2 linked regions of the Canis lupus familiaris genome follow. The main gene of each other region encodes a partner of the protein of the gene in region 2 in a complex. Links are inferred from orthologs where the notes say so. Each region holds a gene or a part of one and is shown on either strand. Other genes may lie near its edges.

Evidence for each region. The genes of interacting proteins can lie anywhere in the genome.
Region 1: HTATSF1 (region 2) and SF3B4 share a complex: the UniProt entries of both Homo sapiens proteins name them as parts of the 17S U2 SnRNP complex. The link is inferred for Canis lupus familiaris from reciprocal best matches to the Homo sapiens genes HTATSF1 and SF3B4.

What each region holds. Positions count from the first base shown.
Region 1 is NC_049238.1:59,865,835-59,873,246, forward strand, and holds the start of SF3B4 (splicing factor 3B subunit 4), read right to left. Parts: upstream 4,840-7,412; 5' UTR 4,717-4,839; coding exon 4,683-4,716; intron 4,236-4,682; coding exon 4,107-4,235; intron 3,839-4,106; coding exon 3,296-3,838; intron 2,973-3,295; coding exon 2,766-2,972; intron 669-2,765; coding exon 495-668; intron 304-494; coding exon 116-303; 3' UTR 1-115. Other genes in the region: MTMR11 (myotubularin-related protein 11), read right to left, coding at 6,042-6,188, 6,713-7,006. UniProt on the Homo sapiens protein: Component of the 17S U2 SnRNP complex of the spliceosome, a large ribonucleoprotein complex that removes introns from transcribed pre-mRNAs.
Region 2 is NC_049260.1:107,813,510-107,820,346, reverse strand, and holds the end of HTATSF1 (HIV Tat-specific factor 1), read right to left. Parts: intron 4,974-6,837; coding exon 4,884-4,973; intron 3,863-4,883; coding exon 3,725-3,862; intron 3,231-3,724; coding exon 1,986-3,230; 3' UTR 966-1,985; downstream 1-965. UniProt on the Homo sapiens protein: Component of the 17S U2 SnRNP complex of the spliceosome, a large ribonucleoprotein complex that removes introns from transcribed pre-mRNAs.

The DNA of each region.
Region 1 (7,412 bases), on a different chromosome or scaffold from region 2:
AAAAAGACCTGAGAGGGATTAGTGCCTTAGCTCTAGGGAGCTACAGCAAATCTGATTGGTCCAAGGAATTGAAAAGATATTAGGAAGATAGAACAGGAGGTGAGAGAATTAGAAATTATTGAGGAAGAGGGCCTCGGAGTGGGCCACGCGGGGGAACTGGAGGCCGGGGGGTGGGTCTGGGTGGAGGCAGGGGCCCCCGCTGGTAGCCGTAGGGTGGGGGTCGTGGAGGCCCAGTGTATCCATGAGGAGGCATTAGTGGAGGAGGTCCACGCATCCCATGTGGAGGCATGGGACCTGGGTGACCTGCACAAAGAAAAAGAAAAGTCAGTCAAGGAAAGAAATAGGAAGTAGCTGATGTTGGGCCAATGCGTGGAGAACACGGACAGGGAGGCCGTGAGCACAAGTGTAAATAAAGGGCAGGAAACAGGGATGTGACAAAGGAAGCTACAAGACTATGATACTCAGGATGAGGGAAATGGCTAGAGCCTACTCACCCATGGGAGATCCAAACGGAGGCCCTCGAGGGGGCAAGCCCATTGGAGGAGGTCCAGGATGAGGCATTCCAGGTGGTGGTCGGGGTGGTGGCTGCCCCCCAGAGCCTGGGGGCCCAGCATGTGGGTGTCCTAGGCCATGAGGGCCATGGTGGGCCAGCTGCATCTGAGACATCCCTGTGAGAACAAAACAGACATAAATAGCAAGGAGACAAGGAATACAGAGAGCAAAGAAAATGGAGAAAGGAAGAGAACAAAACTGAGAAAGAAGTGACATCAGGAAAAGAGGAGTATGGAGGGATCCCTGGGTGGCGCAGCGGTTTGGCGCCTGCCTTTGGCCCAGGGCGCGATCCTGGAGACCCGGGATCGAATCCCACATCAGGCTCCGGGTGCATGGAGCCTGCTTCTCCCTCTGCCTGTGTCTCTGCCTCTCTCTCTCTCTCTCTCTGTGACTATCATAAATAAATTAAAAAAAAAATTAAAAAAAAAAAAAAAAAAAAGAGGAGTATGGAAAATAAGGCTGGTACAAAGCGCCCTCCACCCTCATCCTCATTCCAAGGGTACAAGCAGATCAACTACCCACCCAATCAACTGCTTGCCCACTTTGCTTGCTCCTTCCACAATTTAGACAGTATAACAGTGCTGCAGAATTATGTAACAAATGGAGTGATTATTTCACTGACAGAATTCGGGAAAGTAGCAGAAACATTGTCTGAGCAAAGATCTAATTCTAGAGAACGAATAAGAATTTTTCGGGTGGACAAGAGCATGGAACAGAATTTTCCCCAAGCAGGAAATATTAGCATGTGAGAACCACAAGGGCATCAAACAGGGATGTATGTTCAGAGAAAACTGGTAACTCAGAAATAAAGAGCAGCATGTAGTCATGGGTGTAACTAGCAGGCACCAATCACAAACAGCCTACAATGCTATGGTGACAAGTCTGGGTTTTATGCTGTACGTAAAAGAGAGCAACAATAGAATTTTGAGCAAAAGTGTGTGAACATTGTGTTTTAGAAAAATTACTCTGTGCAAGTGGATCAAAGAGAAATTGAAGTCAAAATGTTAGAAAATCACTACAATAAATTAGGTGTGAAATGAGTATGAGGGGGCCTGCACTAGGGCACTAGCAGTGAGAGCCAATACCAGATATATTAGTAAGATTTGATATCTAGTACAGGAGTGATAGGAAACAGTTAAAAATAGGTCCCAGATTTCTGAATTAAGAATCTGAAAACAAAGAATGCTAGAGGAACAACAGGTGTGAAGGGGAGGTTAGCAAAGTGGAGCTGTCCATCAGGCAGTGGGATTAAGGGTCACAGACCAGATATCCACATCTGGGTGGCATCAGTGTACAAGTAAGGGAACTATGAAGAAAAGAGAACCAGAGGGATCCCTGGGTGGCGCAGCGGTTTGCGCCTGCCTTTGGCCCAGGGCGCGATCCTGGAGACCCAGGATCGAATCCCACGTCGGGCTCCCGGTGCATGGAGCCTGCTTCTCCCTCTGCCTGTGTCTCTGCCTCTCTCTCTCTCTGTGTGACTATCATAAATAAATAAAAATTAAAAAAAAAAAAAGAAAAGAGAACCAGATACAAAAACCCAGCTACATGGAGAGGGAGAAAAGCCTACTAATGTGGCTAACTTTTTTTTTTTTTTTTTTTTTAATTTACGATAGTCACACAGAGAGAGAGAGGCAGAGACACAGGCAGAGGGAGAAGCAGGCTCCATGCACCGGGAGCCCGATGTGGGATTCGATCCCGGGTCTCCAGGATCGCGCCCTGGGCCAAAGACAGGCGCCAAACCGCTGCGCCACCCAGGGATCCCTAATGTGGCTAACTTTAAGGAGTCTGAGACAGATGAAAAATCCAGAAACACCAAGAGGCAAGCTTTTCAAAAAGGACAACACACCCAGTTTCAAGTACACCAAATGGCAAACCAGGTAAAGAATGGAAGTGCCCCCTCTATTTGGCAATTAGGTCACTGCTTTGGGGTAGAAGTCGGAGGAGAAAAATGAAGTAAAAGTTAAAGGAAAAAGCAAACGAGTACAGTTACACTCTTTGGAAAAACTTGTATAATAAATGGAGACAGGGTGGTAGCTGTTAAAGTAAACAGAGAACAGTGTCTCGTGTTTGTTTTTATAAAAGAATGTCTGAAAAAAAAGCAGAGCTCCGGGACTATCTACTATTACTGCTGAGGGATGAGGGCAGCACTGCATGTGGCAGTGGAGCTCCTCCAACAAGCTTATCTATCCTTTTCCCCAGCAAAGAACACTCACCTGGATGGGGCATCCCACTTGGTGGGAATGGGTGAGGATGCGAGTGTCCATGTCCAGGATGTCCAGCCCCTGGGGTTCCTGCTGATGGTGGACCGTGTCCTCCAGCACCGGGAGGCATAGGTGGCGGGGGCATGGCTGGGGGTATCCCGGGTGGAAGGGCTCCAGGAGGCGGCACCGGGGGTGGGAAGGACCCAGGAGGAGGCATGCCTATAGAGGAAATGAAAGACAAGTTAACGATAGTAAGGAGAGAATGTCTTTAGAAAGCCCGTTCAATCTGGCCTCCTCAGGCAGGATAAGTTCTCTTCCCTTCCTCCCAGCTCTCTAAAATCAGAAGCAATACTAGATAACTAGGAACAACTTCAGCCTCTTCAACTCAACAACTTTCTCCCCACAACTGTCACCCCTCACTCTCTTTCTCATCACCTACTGACTCCATGTCCCCCTTTATCAAGTTCTTTTCTCCTCCCCTTGCCCCCGCTCACCACCACACCCCAAGCCCAAGACAAAAATACTTTGAATAAAAGCTTTACCTGGTGGCGGGAGCCCAGACCCCAATGATGATACGACAGGATTGGGGGCTGAAGGCGGAGGGGGTGCATCTGCAAACAGCTGATGAGGGCGGTCAGCCTGGGAGAGTGGGTTCTGGGCTGCTAGAAGTCGTTCAGCTGCTGAGCCGTGGCGCTCCCCTTTCGAGTCCTTCTTGAAGGCATAGGACACAGTAATGGGGCGATTACAGAGATACTGCCCATTCATGGCCTCAATAGCTGCATCCGAAGCGTCAAATGAAGCAAAATTAATAAAGGCATAACCTTTGGAGTTGCCTGTATCAGGGTCCCGCATAATCTTAGGGGTTTGTAAGATGACCCCGAAGGCGCTGAAAGTATCATAAAGCAGCTTCTCATCAATTTCTGGGTCCAGATTGCCAATGAAAATGTTGGCCCCCACGTCCAGGTTCTTGTTGTGAGCCGATGCCTTGTTCACTCGTATTGGCTTCCCATATAGTTTGATCATGTTCATGATCTTAATGGCATAGTCAGCATCTTCCTCACTCAGGAATTCCACAAAGCCATAGCCTGGGAAGTAGAAAAGCAGAGATTAACTTAAGTGAAGTGATTCAATTTCGTGTGTAACTCATGCACCTTCCAAAGCACAAAGAACATGAAATAACCACCTCACTTCAACTGGGAATGGTTCCAGAAGCAAACATTGAATGACACTTAAAAGGAAGAATCTACAGGTGATTCCAAAACGGCTATGAATACTGCCTATGAATACTGCCGGAACCCTCCAGGAGCAGCTTGTCCCCTCAATGCATAAACACGCCTCTTGTGATGTACTCACCTTGGTGCTGACCTGTGACTCTATCCTTTGGCATGTGGGTGTTGACTACTGGCCCTGCCTGGAGAAAAAGCTCCCACAGCAGGGGTTCGCTAACCTTCTCATCCAGTCCCCCGACGTAGACAGTGGCATCTAAGAGAAATGAGCAGATTATGGCAGGGATGAGACAACGACGGGAAAGAAGGAAGTGACAGGCGGGGGAACTGGGAGTGGAGATGGGATATAGGAACAAAAAAGGAAAAAGACGTGAGAGTAAGCCCTTACATCTCTCTCATTCCAGAACTAAAGAACCTTCTTAAGTCTAACTGAAGGTTCTGCTGCAAATTCTCTGTGAATTGCTTTGTTTTTGGTTTTCGTTTGGGTTTTTGTTTTGTTTTGTTTTTTTGAATGGGAAGGCGCAGGAGATTGGACAGAGCATCACAACCACAGGCCTCAGCCTGCACCCGGCCACCCCACCCCCAGCCGGCACGGGGGCCGGGTTCGCGCCCTCCGGGGGGATCCGATCTCCTGCCCCGGCGAAAACACGGCTGGCCTTCCTCGAGGCCTCCCAGCCTCCCTGGCCTCATCCCCTCCAACTACCCTGGTTCCGCTCGGAGATCGGGCCGGCCGCCATGGCGAAAGAGCTCCCGCCGTCTCCAGGCAGCGATCCCGCCCTCTGACCTCAGTCAGTACTTCCACTTCCGGGGCGAAGGTAGTCACGAGGGCGGTGGGCGGGGCCTGATGGGGGAGGAGCCGGAAGAGGCCCCGGCCATCTTAGGAGTTGCGGAGACTTGATGCGGCTTGTGGGGCCGCGTTCTCCGGTCCGTGGTTCTGCGCGGATTTGCCGCTGCTAGCGGTCAAAGCGATGAGGGCCGAACGGAAATGCCCAGACCCTCTTAAGGCAGTGCTGGACGTTAAAGGATCACAGTACTCCTAAAAATGTAAACTCAAAAGCTAAAAGAACAAAACTTTATTTAGAAATATTTTGTTGGCAAACTATCCTTTTGTTCCCCGGAGAAGGGTGTGCTGAGGAAACCCTCCAACCCAAGGATTCGGCTGCCTTAGGGTGCGGAGGCAGCCCTCCACCGTGGCCCGCGGCTTCTGGGGAGAGGATTGCGGAGTGTCTGAGCTGGAGTGGCGTCGGAGCTCACATGATCCTGTTGCATGGGGGAGATGGAAACCTGAGGCTCAGAGATGATGTGTGCCCAGAGCTGAGGGTACCTGACATTGCAGCCCAGGGGCCTCAGTTTCAACCGCCAGAATACCCCGGGCCCACCAACCATGTCTTTGCATGCTCTTTGCCCCATCTTACGAAACGATTAGTGTGGACAGCCTGACCTATCTCCATATTTCCTGAACAATAATATGGTGGGTCCCTTCTTCTCCCGGTTTATCATCGCTTTTTTACTTAGGATCTTTTATTCAGACACCAGAGATAATGCCAGCAACTGTACTTTAATGAACTCGTTAAATAGAAATGTCACTACAAAATATACAATTGGGAGAGACAGGATGTGTCCCATACCCACTAGCATACCCATAGAAAACCAGAGGGAAGAAACAGAAATTGGAATTAAGCAGCAAGAGGAGGTGAGAATGAGTTCTGTAGGCCATCTCCTTTGAACTGATGAACAGCATCTCTCATCTCACAGCTTATCGGCTGGGTATCCAGAGGGATGGAATTGCCCTGAAAAGAACAAAGGTAATCGTATTCTGGATTGCTTTTGTTTCTTAATTCCTCAAATCATGAGAAACATATCTCGAGAATGAAACAGGACAGGGCAAGAGTTGGAGAAGGTTAGCACCACCCATCTGCAACAGAAAGGTCAGTGAGCTTGTTGAGGGCTGGAGTGTCAAAAGCTGAGACAGCAAGACCAAGATAAGAAAAATTGGAGGATTAGACAGAACCTTCCCTCACCCCGGACCCCCTCTGCCATGCCCATAAAAAAGACAACAATTTCAACGGGACTGGGAAAGAATGGTATTTGGATCTCTTTTCTTGGAGTGATCCTCAGGAGATACTCTTGGTGTCCATTTCCTTAAAAGCTCCTGAAGATGGGATAGCTCATCCTGGAGGCCAGAGATTGTGGGAGCTGAGAGGCCTTTCTGAGAAGGGGGTGAAGAGAGGCAGAGAGGAATATTATTATAGCTCTAGCTCCCTATTTCTGAGATGTGTCCACTACTTCTGGCATCTTTTTTATTATTATTATAACTGACATACAATGTCCTGTTAGTTTTAGGTGCACATCCTAGTGATTTTTTAATACTTTAATAAAATTTTATAAAATTACACTTTTAAACAATTTTTATACAAAAAAATTGATATTTTTATACATTACAAAGTGATCCCCATAAATCTAGTTCCCATCACCTCTGGCGTCTTTAATTCTCTTTCCCCCTCCAACTATGTTCTAGGCTCTACTTGATCTGAACCACAAGTAGTCTATCCCACACATACACACACACTCCTAAACCTATCCACTGTGATACCAACAGGAATGATAATTCACTCCTCAGTCCCCCCAGCTCCTTGTTTTTCCAGCTCCTAAAAACATCTGGTTTCTCCCAGAACATCTGGTTTAGCAGTCAAGCCCCTTCTCCTACTCCCAATCCCTGTCCTCCCTCCTCACCTGGAACTCAGGCCTTCCCCTCAGGTAGCAGCGTCTCCACAGCTTGATCTGGGGTCCCAGATATCCAGGCAGCAGCAATCCCGGGGGTAAAGGGCAAGCTCCCCAATGTGAGGGGAGCCCCCACTCCTGATCAGCCAGGCTTTCAGAGGAGATAGCAGGTCTAGGGAGCCAACGAGAAGAGACTGCCAGCAGGGAGGGGCTGTCCCGCCAAGGACAGAGCTGATTCAGTGGGGTCAGGGCCCCTCTGGAGAAGAGCCACACAGAATTTGGGGGTCCAGGAACCATGAAGCTTGGCTAAAGGGAAAAAAGAAATCAACTGCAACCTAGAAACCTCTGACTCCCCTTCCCCAAAGGTCAGGAAAGAATGTCTAGCTTCCACCTACTCAAACTGCATTAGTGATCAAACTACAGGCCTTCCCCCATCTACTCTCCTCATAGGCTTCAAACTAAGCATCAGGTCTGATTAAAGTCAATTTTAGGGAAACTTGTAAAATGTGTATAAGAGGGGTGCCTAGGTGGCTCAGTCAGTTAAGCATCCAACTCTTGATATTGGCTCAGGTCATGATCTTAGGGTTGTGAGATCCAGACCCACATGGAGCTCCTCGCTCAATGGGGAGTCTGCCCCCCGCCACCTCGGCTGGCACACACATATGCACGCTCTCTCTCAAATAAATCTTTTTTTTTAAATGTGTGTAAGAGG
Region 2 (6,837 bases):
AGGAAAACAGACTTTTGAACCAAATTGCCCCAATTTTACTCTGTCAGGTTACTTTTGTAGAAAGCAGTAGTAACTTCAAATGTCTCGTGAATATTGCAAGGCCAGTAACATCTTTCTTTTGTAACATGGAGTTTCAAGTTTACTCCTCCAGGGCACCTGTAGACTCAAGAGAGCTGGCACTCATACCATTTGAAGGCATCTTTGAAGCCACTTCTGGTTCAGGCATTCAGGGTGGGATGTGTTAAGTAAGCAACATAGCCTTAAGGAACATTAAGCTTAGACTTTGTCAGGTAGTTAAGCATTGCTGTGCTTAAAACCCATCCCTGTATTGTTCTTCTTTTGCTACCAGGACATATTGTTGCCTTGCAATAAACTCTGCCAGGACCAATAAAACCCGACTTAGTAAACAGGTGACTGTGTATGTGCGTGTGTGTGTGTGTGTGTGTGTGTGTGTGTGCGTGCGCGCGCTTCATGAGCCTTAATGTCTTGTCAAAATCACCTCACAAATGATTTACCATTTTTACAGCTATTTGTGACCTTTGCTTCCAGGGTGTTTATATAAAAAGAGTGTGTTTGATATCAGCCAAATTAATGAGCAGGGGAGAAAAGAAGTCAGAAAGAAAACAGCCCCCTTCTAACGGTCTTGGAGCTTGTCTGTGTTCTAGTTATGTGTTCCAGCCATTGTATATGAAGAGAAGCAGCAGCCTGCCGCTCAGGAAATCAATCCTCCAATAAATGGGACGTTTAAATGCTTCTGGCTTACCTTTAAAGGAGCACTAGTTTGGTCTGCAACTTTTCTATATTTTAGTTTCTTTAGCTCTTTTATGGACTTACCCCTGGTGAAAATCCTGAGATTTTAAGAAATCCCAGCGACTACAAAATTCTCAGCTTTGGCGTGAAATATAAGAACACTTTTTTTTTTTTTTTTGTCTGAAGAGGGTTAATGATTACACTTACAGACAGTATAATGAAAAAGCACCAATGCAGTTTATTTTAATGCTTCTAATTCACGAGAGTTACTTCTTAATTCTACATCAGAAGTCATTTCACCAATACTCAATTTGGAAAGCACAATCAAGAAAGACTCCAATTTTTATTCGGACTACACAACTCAGCACAGTACTAGGCATCATGAATCTAGAACAAAAAATCGAAATATGCAGGACACAATAGATCTTAAACTCTAGGGATCCATGAACCTCTGGGAAGTGTATACAAAAAAGCTGTGTAGTGTGTGCTTACATCTTTCTGGGGAAAGCTCCAATGATTTCAATCAGCTTCTAAAAAGGTACCCAAGCAGTACACAAGAGAATTCTCATCTCCTCCATATTTCCAAAAACGAAAGCCGCGACTTCAGGAAGTTCACTTTCGCACATTTCAGAGTCAGTTTCCACAGGGACAGAGGGTGGAAAAGAAAACAAATGAAAGTAACTTGCAAGGACTAGGCAGGGAAAAACTCCAGAGTGTTATTTACTTTATAAGTTTAGTAACATGTTCTGGGTTAGGGAGGGGAAATGGGGATGTTAAGTGCTAAGGGCAGTGGGGAGCAAGAAGACTCCTAAAAGGCTTTTTCAAGTCCTCACAAACACCACACTTGAGTATGAATGAAGCAACAGCAAGAATTTCAAATGCAATGTAACGCCAAGTCCAATTCTTCAGTTTCAGCATATTAACAACTTATTTTTATTTTTGAATATCACAAACTTCAATCAGAATACTTTAAAAAATATTATTCTGCATGCACTTAACAAATTGGACAAAGGACAAGTATCCAGCTGACTTGCATTATACTATGAAGTTTTACCTGAACAGCCAATTAACACAGATTTAAAATCATTAAGTACAGGTGACAGTGAAAACTTCAATGCATTACTCTGCTGGCATCCTACCACTAGGCACACGTTCATGTAACACTACTAGCAATTACCCTGGAGCACGGGCAGAATGCAGATGGAGGAAGCTCCCTACAAAGCAAGTTTAAGGGATTAAATGTCATCATCGACATCGTCGTCGCTACTGAGGACAAAGCTACTGCCTGTGGACAGGGGCCCTTCCTCCTTCACGTTGCCCACACCCCTCACTGTCCCTCTCTCATCAGAGTCGTCAAACAGCTTCTCACTGGAATCCTCATCGTCATCATCAAACAGCTTCCCGTTGGAATCATCCTCTTCAAACATCTTATCATCCACGTCCTCACCTTCCTTTATCTCTACTCCTTCCTCATCTTCTTTGTCATCCGAGTCTTCGAACATCTTCTCATCAACGTCTTCAAGCCCCTTTTCATCTGCATAGTCTTCATCCTCTCTTTCGTCTGACTCATCATCAAATACCTTTTCGTAGGTGTCCTCCCCTTCTTCCTTGTCATCAGACTCTTCGTCAAACTCCCTCTCTGAGACTTCCTCCTCAAACACTCTCTCAGAGCTGCTATCTCCAAATTCTGATTTGTCAGAGTCATTGTCTTCAAACTCCCTGTCGAGAATGTTCTCGCCGAACTCCTTGTCGGAGGCATCCTCATCAAAATCCTTCTCAAGGCCATTTTCTTCAAATTCTTTCTCAGAGCCGTCTTCAAACTGCTTTTCAGAGAAGTCTTCTTCGGATTCCCTTTCCGAGTCATCCTCTTCAGACTCCTTTTGAGGGCTCTCCTCTTCACACTCCTTGCTGGGGCCATCTTGGTCAGAATCCTTTTCAAGACCGTTCTCTTCATAATCATTTTTGAGCCTCTTCTTTTTGGATTCTTGTTCAGGGCCATTCTCTTTAGACTCTGCTTTAGGACCGCCCTCTTCAAACTCTTTTTCAGGGCTGCCTTCTCCAGACTCTCTCTCTGGGTAGTCTTCCTCACGCTCCCTCTTGGGGCAGCCTTCCTCAGACTCTGTTTTGAGGGAGCCTTCTTCAGATTCTTTCTGGGCGCAGCCTTCCTCAGCCTCTTTCTCGGGACCACTTTCTTTGGCATCTTTTTCCGAAGCATCTCCTTCAAATTCTCCCCCATCTTCGGTTTTTTCAAACTTCTTTTCATCGATGGGTTCTTCAAATGCCATTTCCCTTGTGGCCTCTTGTGCATTCATTTTCGATGTGCTAGGGCGCTCTGAAAAATGCCTTACCCTAGAAGGCCCCGCCCTTTCCGAAGCACAGATGGAATTTGAACGCCGAAGGCTTCTGTTAGCCTCGGGAGCATTAAGGAAAGCCTCCCATCCTCTCAGCCTTTCCTCCCTTTCTCTTGTGGTCTCTTCCACCTGTGGAGAAAGGGGAATTGCTATTAAAATGAGTTTTAGGCAAAAATAAATAACTTCTCTGCACACTTCTGATACTGACACAAATACCCTGATTTCATACAGCATCTCTTCTTAGGAAATCAGAGCATTTCCCTATATTCAGTTTTCAAAATTTTACATCTTGATTAATGGGAGTTGAGCTTAAGATCATTTAAACAAAAGCCCAACACCACAGTCCTGCAGAATTGTTAAATAAAGAAATCAAAGAAAAAGTTAATACTTGAATGCTCTCCATCCTTTACTTACCACTATTCTGAGCACACCTCAAAATTTCAGGCTTATAAACTGAAAAACTAAAACATTTTTCTTTCTATGCTCTGGATGCAAAGTATTATTTAGAAGAACTGTTACATTAAACAGATTAAACTGAGCCCAAAACTCATCTGAAGAACCACTAGATCAGCATTTGTTGGTAATGTTACAATTTATGTGCCCTTGATAGTTGCAGAATTTACCTGATAATCTGTAGTCCCATCCCACGCCTGGGCAGTGATTTGACGGCCACCAAACCACCTTCCATCAAGAGTTTGTATACAATAGTCAGCTTCCTCCGGATCCCTGAAGGACACAGAGGCCACACCATCGGGGTGTCTCTAGAAAGGGAAGAAAAGGCAGCAATGAATGATAAAACTAAAAATAAAACATACACATTTGACAAAATAAGTATGTAGTGGAGTTCTTTGATAACTTAAGCTTCAAGATTTTATGTATGAAGCCATTCTTCCTTTTTACTCCAGCCAGTGACTTGAAGCTAGCTGCTTCTTTAAAAAAAAAAATATTTTATTTATTTGAGAGAGAGAGAGAGAGAGAGAGATAGTGAGAGAAAGCACGAGCTGGGGAAGGGGCAGAGGGAAAAGCAGACTTCCCACTGAGAGGGGCGCCCGATGCAGGGCTCGATCCCAGGACCCTGGAATCATGACCCAAGCGAAGGCAGTCACTTAACCAAATGAGCCACCTAGGCACCCCAAAGCTAGCTGCTTCTTTAGCTTAATCTTGTATATCAAGAACCAAGCATGATGTTCTTGGAAATGCTTCTACCACTTAGCAGCTAAATGACCTTGAGCAAGGTGCTCACTCAATCTCTAAACTCCGAGCTTCCTCATCTGTAAAATGGGTAGAATAGTACCCACCTACCTCAAAAGATCATGAGAACTAAATGAGGTAACATGTAAAGTAGCCCGTATGCAATCAATAAATGGTGAATCTTTTAGTATGTGTCAATCTAGGAAGTAACAGAGTAAGAAGGGGAACATAGAGAAGAATATTTTGCTTGATTTTTCTTCAAATATGGAGGAGGAGAGTAATTCACCAAGAGGGGTAAATGGGGGCAAATAGGGAACCACAAGATCTCACACGTCTTTCTTGTACTCCTTTCATCTGATCACACACTCTAGGGCAATAAAGGGAAATCACCAAGGCATACCAAGTCTAGCAAGCCCTGACTTACAATCCATGTTCATCTAACTACTGCTGACAGATGACTACTACTAGATAGCAGCCCTACTATAGAAAAACATTAATCCAAAATTTGTGGCATACTGACCTCTGGGAATAACTTCTCAAAGGGAAAGAATGCTTGGCTTTAGGAATCATTTGTCTAAGCCACGAACTTACATCAAAGAGAAGAAGCTTCCTAATTTGTCCAAACTTTGAACACTCTACTCGAAGGTCTTCTCTGATTTCATTCAGCACCAATGGATCATCCTGCAAACATACACATGATTAAAACAGGTTTGCCCCCTTTAAATACAAACCCTGAGAAATCACATTTCTTGCTTTGACAAGCCAACATACCGAAAAAAGTTTTACTTAAAAAAAAGTAGTCTTGTCTGAGGCCTACAAAATCTTAAAAAGTCAAAACGGATTAAAGTTAGATCACCAAGACTGCAGCCACTGCTACAGGGCGGCCCTGCTTTCAGCTTGAGGAAAGGGCTGAGAATGGCGGGCAGCAGTAGGACTGTGCTGGAGCAGAGGGGAGGGGAAGCAGGGAAGGAGGACCGGGAATCCCCAATAACAGCAGCTGTACGGGCAGGAAAAGTCCTCTGACATATATGCAATCAGACACTGCTCATTCCTCTGTCCTGCACGGGCATCATGAGTGTACTGACCAGAGCCTTCTGCTTTGGGTTTTGCATAGATGCCTATTTACAGAAATGCTGTCATGGAGAGAGAGATAGCCCTTTCATTGACTAAGTGTTCTAAGATAGTTCTTTGTGCTTCCAAGATTCTATTTTAACTTACAGGGTAAACCTCCCTTATAAGGGTGCCTGTTCATCTTGTCTCCTACCACATCGCACCAGAACCACACAAATAAAGCACTGTTAATAAGCACACGAGAAAATATATTCTTAGGGTGTCTGGGGAGCTCAGTAGGTTAAGCGTCCACCTTCAGCTCAGGTCATGATCCTGGAGTCCTGGGATGAAACCCCACATAGGGCTCCCTGCTCAGCAGGGAGTCAGTCTGCTTCTCCCTCTTCCTCTGCCACTCCCCCTCCCCCTCCCTCCCCCCACCACTCTGCCCTGGCTCGTGTGTGTGCACGCACGCACACGTGCTCTCTCTCTCAAATAAAATCTTTTAAAAAATAGATTCTTAGCTGCTGCTTTCTTGCAACTATAAGTCTATTAAGAGCATTCAAGAGCTGCTGCTTCTGGTGGTCTTGAGTTCAAGTGGACCATCTACCCCACAACAAAAGCATTTAAGATTACCAGTAGGAATTAACAAACCTTTCCTCAAGTCCCAGTGCATGGAAAGGGCTCATAAAATGTTACATTATCCACTTGAATTTTAACTACATAAACATATAAATGAAACATCCTATATATGAACTTCTACTGAAGTAGACTTATGCTTTTTAAGAAACACTTAACTTCATCTTGCTCACGGGTTTTTATTTTCCTCACCAACTAAAGAACTGCAAAGAACAAAAAAAAAGTGCCTTTTCCCTCCTGAAGTTCTCTCAGAAAGCAAAAATAAAGAACTGATAGGTAGTTACTGATATCAACTTTAAAATAAAAGAATACCCTACAAATGAGCCTTCTAAAGGCACAGCTGGCAGCACTCTGTACAAAATCTCATTTTAGAGAAGATGCTGTTTGTTTTAGATAGATTTGTCAGCCCTATGAGGAATGGGAACCAGAGCATGAAAGTCATATGGTAGCCTATAGGAATGTGTGCGTGGTTGGCTCCTACTGGACTACATGCTTTCTAAAGGCGGGAATCTTGTTTGAATGAGTTTCATATGCCTCACAGAACCCAGCACCGGTGTTTCCACATGGTGAGCAGTCAATAAAAAGCTTCTTCAAGATAAACAATTGCCAATACCTCAAAACTTTATTCACCAAGGGAAATCAGGATTATAGTAAAACCACAGAAAACTGTTACAAAATATTCAACAAATTTAAGTGTGATTCCATTGTAGGGGGGGGGAGGAACCACTCTATTTCTGTACCAAAGTCTCAGTGCTTTTCCTACAAGGATGTCAGATTTTAGCCAAAATCTTTGTACATTTCTGTTTTCATTTATACCAGCTTGAAAAACGAATCTAGCCTCACTGCTGTATAGTAGCCT